Linked DNA regions of Callithrix jacchus. The protein of the gene in region 1 interacts with the protein of each later gene in a pairwise test. Links are inferred from orthologs where the notes say so. Each region holds a gene or a part of one and is shown on either strand. Other genes may lie near its edges.

What was found. The genes of interacting proteins can lie anywhere in the genome.
Region 2: the proteins of BAD (region 1) and YWHAH interact in binary tests that used the Homo sapiens proteins (3 or more experiments, as listed by UniProt). The link is inferred for Callithrix jacchus from reciprocal best matches to the Homo sapiens genes BAD and YWHAH.

Annotation. Positions count from the first base shown.
Region 1 is NC_133511.1:121,342,697-121,346,784, reverse strand, and holds the start of BAD (bcl2-associated agonist of cell death), read left to right. Parts: upstream 1-1,288; 5' UTR 1,289-1,778; coding exon 1,779-1,824; exon of another isoform or gene 1,825-1,908; intron 1,909-1,995; exon of another isoform or gene 1,996-2,118; intron 2,119-2,354; coding exon 2,355-2,549; intron 2,550-4,088. Other genes in the region: integral membrane protein GPR137, read right to left, coding at 1-197. UniProt on the Homo sapiens protein: Promotes cell death. Successfully competes for the binding to Bcl-X(L), Bcl-2 and Bcl-W, thereby affecting the level of heterodimerization of these proteins with BAX. Can reverse the death repressor activity of Bcl-X(L), but not that of Bcl-2.
Region 2 is NC_133502.1:202,419,032-202,422,975, reverse strand, and holds the start of YWHAH (14-3-3 protein eta), read right to left. Parts: upstream 2,801-3,944; 5' UTR 2,609-2,800; coding exon 2,522-2,608; intron 2,083-2,521; exon of another isoform or gene 1,834-2,082; intron 1-1,833. UniProt on the Homo sapiens protein: Adapter protein implicated in the regulation of a large spectrum of both general and specialized signaling pathways. Binds to a large number of partners, usually by recognition of a phosphoserine or phosphothreonine motif.

The DNA of each region.
Region 1 (4,088 bases):
CAGAGGGCCAGGAACACCGTCTGATAGCTGAGACGCTTGTGCCCATACAGGAGCACCAGCCAGAGCTGGGCATAGACGGAGAAGAAGAGCAGGGCATACAGGGTGGTGTAGGCGGCTGTCAGCCCCAGGGTCACAGCAGGTGGCAGCGCAGGCACCAGCCCGGCAGCAGGCACCAGGCCAGACAGGTTACTCTCCATGTCAGGGAGGGAGGCCTGAATCCCTGAGACAGAGAAGGAGGGGCTGTCGGCGGGGCCAAGGAAATAAATACGGAGGGGTGGGAATTGCAGGGTGCAGAGAGGGAGATGGGGCGCTCAGGAGGAAAGAAGTTGTGGCTGACAGACCTCTCCTCCTCAACAGAGAGACCCCTGCCCTTGGGGAACATGGGCAGCCTGGGCCCCAGGCCCCTCACTCAGGGGCATGGAAGGGCAGTTTCTTCTCTCCAGGGCAGATCGGTTGAGGGTTGGTGGTGTCTCCTCCCTGGGCCTACCCCAGAGCCAGTGATGGAGGGAAGCAGAGGCCCAAGGAAAGGAGTCCCTGGCCTGAATCGCTCGTGTCGTCCTGGCTGGAGGGGGAGAGCCGGCCGATGCCCGTTGGCCCAGGGCAGCGGCCGCTATCGGGGGCGCCCAATGCCCCGCTCTCCCCCTCCCCAAGTTGGGGGAGGCTCTCTCCTCCAATAATGCGGATGGGGAGAGCCTCTGCCTTCTGTCCTCGGAATTCTCGGAGGCTGCCCCCGCCCCACCCCTCCACCGCGTCCACTCTCCAGCGTCAAGGGGCGGGAGGAGGCGGATGCCAGGTCCTCAGGCCGCTGCTGGGAGAGCCGGCTCAGATCGTGGGGACCCGGGGCTCCGGCTCCCCGGCTCCCGCTGCTCCGCCCCCTCCTGCGCCTGCGCGGGCGCCGTTCGCTACGCAAATTGCGCAGGGGCCGGGCTGGCTCCGCAGTCTAGCGCCGCACCCGGCGTGGAGCCGTTCGAGAATTGGCACGAGCTGCGCCGCTGGCGGGCGCCCGGGGTTACAGGAGGCGGCAGGCGGGCGGCCGAGTTGCGGGGGACTGTGCCGCACACAGGGGACCCCCGGGTAGGCCGCGCCCCGGGCCGCCAGCCTTTACTAGTTCGGGGGGCCGCCAGTTCCCACGCTTCTCTCCCCCATCCCCAAATTGGGGTCTTGCCTCCCGGCCGGGGACAACGAATCCCCGACCCTCGGTCTCTAAAGAAAACTTCCGCCCATAGCCAAGATGGCTTCCGGGCCCCGCCCCCGGGTCTGAACCCGCGGAGCCCCGAATCCCCCGCGCGGGCCCGCCCCCCGTCCTGGCGCGCCCGCGGCCCCGCTCACCTGGCCTGCCGCCTGCCAGGCGCGAAGCCCCCGCGGGCCCTACGGTCCACCCTCACTGGGTCCCCGGCCCTCCTCCCGCGCCCGGGCAGCCATCCCAGCCAGGGAGGAGGTTCCCTCCCTTATCTCCAGTGCCCCCGAGATGGCGCGGGAGGTGTCCCCCGAGGCGGGCGGCGCGAAGCTTCCACGCCTGGGAGGAGGAGCGGGGAACGGGACTTTCCGACCGGGTCACCCAGTCCAGGCGAAGCAGTAACAATAGCAACAATAATCGCATCCGACGGCTGAGCTTCAGTTGCGGCTGTGCCGAGCGCCTTCGCCCGTAGTAATCACTCCTTTCACAAAGTTTTCACTGGCTCCCGGGAGAGCTGTCACCATCCCCTCTTCACTGGAGGTAAACTAAGGCCCAGAGGGGCTGAAGGACTTGTCTGCAGAAGCAGGTCTCCAGGTTCCAAATGGGGACCCCAGAGAATCCCTCTCCTGCTCCTACACACATCCAAGGTGTGAGGCAGTAGGGATGTGAGAACCCGGGCCGCGGGAGGTAGGAAAAAGGCGGTGGGCTAGGAGGTCGGGACGAGGGGGGGCGGGGCCGGGCCGGGTTGACCCCGCCTCTGGACCTACCCGAGTGACGTTGCGAGAGGTGATTGGGGCAGGTCGCTGACAGTTCCCGTTGCCCAGGCAACTAGGGCCGGGAGCCCGGTTGCAGGAGGGAGGCGGCAGGCCCGGGTCAGGGGCCTCGAGATCGGGCTTGGGGTGAGACCTGTCCGCCGTCACCACGGGCGGGGCGGGACCTGGGTAGGCCCCTGGGTAGGGGCCTGGGTCCACCAGGGTTCTGACGGGAGACTGAGGTCCTGAGCCGACAGCCTCAGCTCCCTGCCAGGCCAGACCCAGCAGACAGATGAGGGCCCGGGAGGCCTGGCGGGCTTCGGGGCGCCAGGGTGGGAGAGGGAGCCAGGGGCACCTGCCTCTGCCTTCCAGGACCACCGTTGGCCCCAGCTGTGCCTTGACTACCTAACATCTTGTCCTCACAGCCCAGAGCATGTTCCAGATCCCAGAGTTTGAGCCGAGTGAGCAGGAAGACTCCAGCTCTGCAGAGAGGGGCCTGAGCCCCAGCACCGCAGGGGACAGGCCCCCAGGCTCTGGCAAGCATCGACGCCAGGCCCCAGGCCTCCCGGGGGACGCCAGTCACCAGCAGGGACAGTCAACCAGCAGCAGCCACCATGGAGGTGAGTTCCCCTCCGCCTCCACCTGCTGGGTCGCCTCACTTCCAGCCCATTGGCTCCCTGCATCCCAGCTGCATCCACACGCACTGAAGGCTTCGGGGCAGTCCCCAACCTCTCAGAGCCTCAGTTTCCTCTTTTGTAAAACAGAGCAATTAATCACCACCATTGTAGGACTGTTGGGTTAATTAGCAGGAACATATAGGATTCACTTGATTACAGAGCTGGTGCACATTAAAGTGGCAAAATGGCAGCTGCTGGGCCTGGTGGCTCACACCTGTAATCCCAGCACGTGGGGAGGCCAAGGCAGGAGGATCGCTTGAGCCCAGAAGTTCAAGGTGAGCCTGGGTGACATAGGGAGACTCCATCTCTTAAAATACATACATATATATATAATGGGTAGCTATTAGTGTGGGGCCAGGATAGAAATCAGTGACAGGCAGGCAGTGATGCAAAAAGGAAAAGTGACTTGCCTAAGGTTACACTTGCCTGGGGTTTCCTTCCTTAGGAGGTGGGGCTGGAAGGCTCCTTGGTGCCCTGCCCCAGGCTATGTGCTTTCCCTGGGATTGGGCCTTCCAGCTCCCGGGTGTGTTGTCTTGTCCTGTGGCTCGCACCCACAGCAAGGCTGTCCTGGTACAATTGCCAGGAGCAGGTGACCTCAAGGGGCAGACAGTCCTCCCAGACAGCGGGGCTATGTGTGGTGGGGAGCACAAGCTGCAAGATGGAAGGATGAATGAACACTGGGGGTCACGGCCATTTCTCAATAGGCTCCACTACCTTGTGCCCAGCACTGGCCTGGAACAACAACAGATAATTTCGGAACAAAGAAACTAGGTCAATCCGGGTGGGGTGGCACATGTCTGTAGTCCCAGCTACTCAGGAGGCTGGCTTGAGCCCAGGGATTCAAGACCAGCCTGGGCAATTCAGCCAGACCCCATCTCTAAAAATAGAAAACTAGGTCAGGTCACTATTGCACTGAAGCTTAAACGACCTCCTCCCCATTTTCAGGATTAAGAAGGCTTAAGAGGCCTCCTCCCTCTCCCTCTCTTACCACACACACTCACTCCCTTCCTCAGATTGGACCCTATAACTTGCTTTTTTTCTCTTTTCTTTTTTTTTTTTTGAGACAGGGTCTCACTCTGTCATCCGGGAGGGAGTACAGAGGTGCAATCTCAGCTCACTGCAGCCTGGAACTTCTGGGCTTAAGTGATCCTCCTACCCCAACTTCCCAAGTAACTGGGAATACAGGTGTGTGGACCACACCCAGTTAAATTATTTTTCACTTTTTCTTTTTCTTTTTAAAGATGAACTCTCACTCTCTTGCCCAGGCTGGAGTGCTAGGCCTCCAGGTGCAAGCTAGGAGTTAGCTAGGACTTCAGGTGCAAGCCACCACGCCTGGCTAATTTTGTGTATTTTTAGTAGAGACAGGGTTTCACCCTGTTAGTGGGTATGGTCTTGATCCGACCCCGATTTAGCCTCCCGAAGTGCTGGGATTACACTCATGAGCTACCACCCTTGGCATTTTTCGCTTTTTCATTAGAGACG
Region 2 (3,944 bases), on another chromosome or scaffold:
CTGCTAGTTCCTTTCAATATATATATTTTTATTTTATTATTATTTTTTTTTTTGAGACGGAGTTTCGCTCGTTACCCAGGCTGCAGTGCAATGGCGCGATCTCGGCTCACCGCAACCTCCACCTCCTGGGTTCAGGCAATTCTCCTGCCTCAGCCTCCTGAGTAGCTGGGATTACAGGCACATGCCACCATATTCAGCTAATTTTTTTTGTATTTTTAGTAGAGACGGAGTTTCACCATGTTGACCAGGATGGTCTCGGTCTCTTGACCTCGTGATCCACCCTCCTCAGCCTCCCAAAATGCTGGGATTACAGGCGTGAGCCACCGCGCCCGGCCCTATTTTTTTTTAAAGAAAACATCTATAAGCACAATATATTCCATTTAAATGATGGGAGGGAAATGGTTTATCATAATTCTGAGATGGGAGAATTAAGGCCTGGATTAACTCTTCAGTGCTGGGTGGCTTTTCCAACTCATTATTTCAAATACAGATATTATAAATTCCTTTGTTTTACAAAAGGCTCCCTTAACCGTCCAGAGAAAATCTATGGACACAAGTAGCGGGCTGCAGGAAAGCATTTTACAACCCTACTAGAAAGCCAATCTTTTTCCTTGCTCAAACTAGATTTCATTCTGGTAACATCTCTCCATTCTTGCCTTTTTCCCCCATTTCAAGTTGCCCCAGGTTTCTGATTGCTCCAGAATGCACCTTCCAACCATTTTTCCTTAACCTGCATTCCCCTTCCTTTAAACCTTGTCTCTTTCTTTTCACCCTATTTATTTCCCAAAGGGCTCCTAATACTGCAGTCTTTAAGTCTCACTCAGAGGGTGAGCAAGCACTTCACCAAAATACGTGGAGCGGCCTCAACCTGCATAATCCCAGTACCACTCAGTCACTGGGGAGAAGGGGCTTAAGTGTGACCTGCTGTGGACAGAGACAGCTTGCATTCAGTGAGTCCCATTTCTGTAAAATATGCAGAACTGCATTTTAGATTTTCTTTTAAGGGACCCCCTGAATTACCTAAGGTTCAGCCTCCAGACCTAGACCGTCCCCTGGGTTGGATGAAAACCTCCTGCCTAACCACAACAGCATGCTAGTAGTGCTCAAGTCAAGATCACCATCAAATCAACATTCGGGCAGTGTTGCTGGTTTCCACACACACCCAGTTATGTGTGTAACAAGGACACCACAGGAAAGGCAACTCTTCAAGTACCTTTCTTACCTGAACAATGCTGAACACTGGCCCCAACTACTTATTTCATCTGATATTAACATCAAAAGCCTTCAAATGAGCTTTCCAAAATTCTATGATTCTAAGATTTTAGGGAGCCTTTGTATTTGCAGTCTTTTCGGACCTCTCTCCAAAAGGCCAGGGAAAGGATACATTTGCTATAATCATGGGCAATGATTCTCAAACTTAAGCCAGCTAAAGACTGCTTGTGAGAGTTGGTTACAATGCAGATGTCTGAGTCTCACCACCCCCCCCCCGAATTTCTAAACCTATAGTAGGTCTAAGGCGGAGTTCAAGGGGATCCTCCCAAGTCTCAGGAGGTTGTATACTGAACATAGCAGGGTGGTGGCCGCAGTTGTATTCCACAGTGTGACCTTGACGCAGAGATAAGTAACATTCACTTAGAGAAAACATAAAATAAACGTGAAGCGAGAGTGAGCTGGTAACCGGAACTCAGAAATGCAGGTGGTGTATGACCCATGGTATTTTGCTAGGGTGTGGCTGGGCACGACTTCACCGGAATCGATTTATGCTGCAGAATCGATTTATGAGGGTCTCGGGAATGCAAAGGCACACAGGGTTCGTCTCACCTACAATCAGGTCTCATTTTAATCTCCAGGCAACCAGCGCAGCACCAAACCTGGGGCTGCGGAGTGAGGCCCCACACCCTCCGCCCCCTCTCCCGCCCTCGTCCACGCCGAGACTGCAGGAAAGGGGTCTTCGCACACAAAGCCAGACCCCAGGCGTGGGACGGCGGAACCAGAACAATTCGGACGAGCAGAGCAAAACAGGAATTACAGACTTCAGGTCGTGGCAGAGAAAACCAGCTGAGACACGGCGCCACTCACTAGGTGATTCTTTATTTCCAAGTTGGGGAACGGAGGAAGGCGAGAAGGGGGAAACCCCCGGGTGCGGTGAAACCGTCTAGAAGCGGGAATGCGGATCCTTCGCGTCCCCTCGTGCACCCCCTGCTCCCGCCCGGGCTCCCAACTAAGATGGGGCGACTTCCCACCGCCCGCCCTCCAGCCCCCGCGGAGCTGCCTCCGCGACTCCCAGCTGCTCCCTCCCGGATCCCCGACCCCGGGTCCAGCCTCAGGAAGTGGCGGAGAGCCCAGCGGGAGCGGGAAGCGCGGGCTGAGGGCGGCCACGCCCAGCCGGGTCGCCCAAGGCCAGGAGAACACCGCCCGCAGCCATCCCCGTCCTTCCCTAACGCCAGGCCCCTCGGCCGACCGGCCTGCCTGCCTGCCGGCCGGCCGACCGCCCGGCCGCCCACACTCCCGGCGCGCTCACCGCCTTCATGGCGGAGGCCATGTCGTCGTAGCGCTCCGCCTGCTCGGCCAGCCGCGCCCGCTGCAGCAGCTGCTCCCGGTCCCCCATGTCGCTCGCGGCTCGGCCTCGCCTCGCGCCTCACACTACTGACTCGCTCACTCGCCCGCCGATCCGTCCGCTCTCTGGTCGCCGCGGAGGCCGCCGCCGCGCACGCGCACTAGCTTGCCGGACGGCCAGAGGCTGCAGGCTGCAGGCAGCGCCGCCGCTCGCGCCCTCTCGCTGGCTAGCCCGGCGCGCAGTGGCTCGCGCCGCGGACGCCGCCGAAGGTGGAGAGACGACAGCGCTGGGGGATGGGAGGACGGCACAACGCCTGCGCAGTGAGAGCGGCCAGGCCCGGCGGCGGAGAGCGGCGGGAGTGGGAGGGGGAAGGGCGGGCCGGCCATAACGGTCTATTTCAAGGTGACGTCACCTACTATAAATAGCCACCGCCGCCGCCCCGCCCGAAAGCCGCGCAGGCGCTCTGCAAGTGCTGCATTTTACCGCCGCAGAGATGGAGGTGGAAGGGGTAAAACCGGGCTGGAGACTGCGGAGCCGGAGGAGGGGGCGCAGTGATGGTGGCTGCACGGGTAGTGCATTGTCATAGCCCCACCCTGAAACGCGCCACTCCATCCACGTTAGAGATCTGGCTTGGAACGGCCCCCAAAACAAACAAACCGGCCGGCGGAGAAGCCTGGCGGCCGCGTGCCCCAAGGGGCGGGTCAGGCCTGCCCCCGCCCCCGTCGTTCTGCCCGCTCCGAGCTCTGCCTGGGCTTGGGTTCTGCCGGGCCACACCCTGCCCGTGGGTCTGCACTGCTCCGGGCAGGATCGAGTCCTACCCTCGGGGACAGTCCCGCCACACAGGCACAGACACACACAATCGCACCCATCCTGAGACGTGGCCTTGGATATGCTGTGCCTTCTACCAGAGGAGAGGCTGGGACAAGTAATATTCAGGACACATTAGGAGCCAATCCACTGCTAGTTCCACACAAGCAATCTCTTTAATCCTCACTACCCAGCCCACAGTGGGCACAGCTGGTCTCCCCATATTTAAAATGAGGAAAAACGAGGCCAGTGACTTGCTCAAGGTTACACAGCCTGTAAGTGGTGGGGCCAGGATCTGAGTTCAAACTCAGGCTGGACTTCTTGTGGCAAAGGGCTGGGGTGTCCCAACTGGCTGGTCACTGAGCCACTCCCAATCCCAGGTGGCACTGAATGCTGAGGGTTCTTTGTGCTACCGTGGTCTGGGCTGCCCGACAAGCTAGGAAAATAATGATTAAAACAAGGCCCCGACTGATGTCAACATGCCAAGGGCAGGGCAGGAGAAGGGGCCTTGGGCTGCCTGAGAATTTTATTGAGCATCTACTGCATGCTCAGTGCACAAGGATAAGCTGGCTCTTGAAGG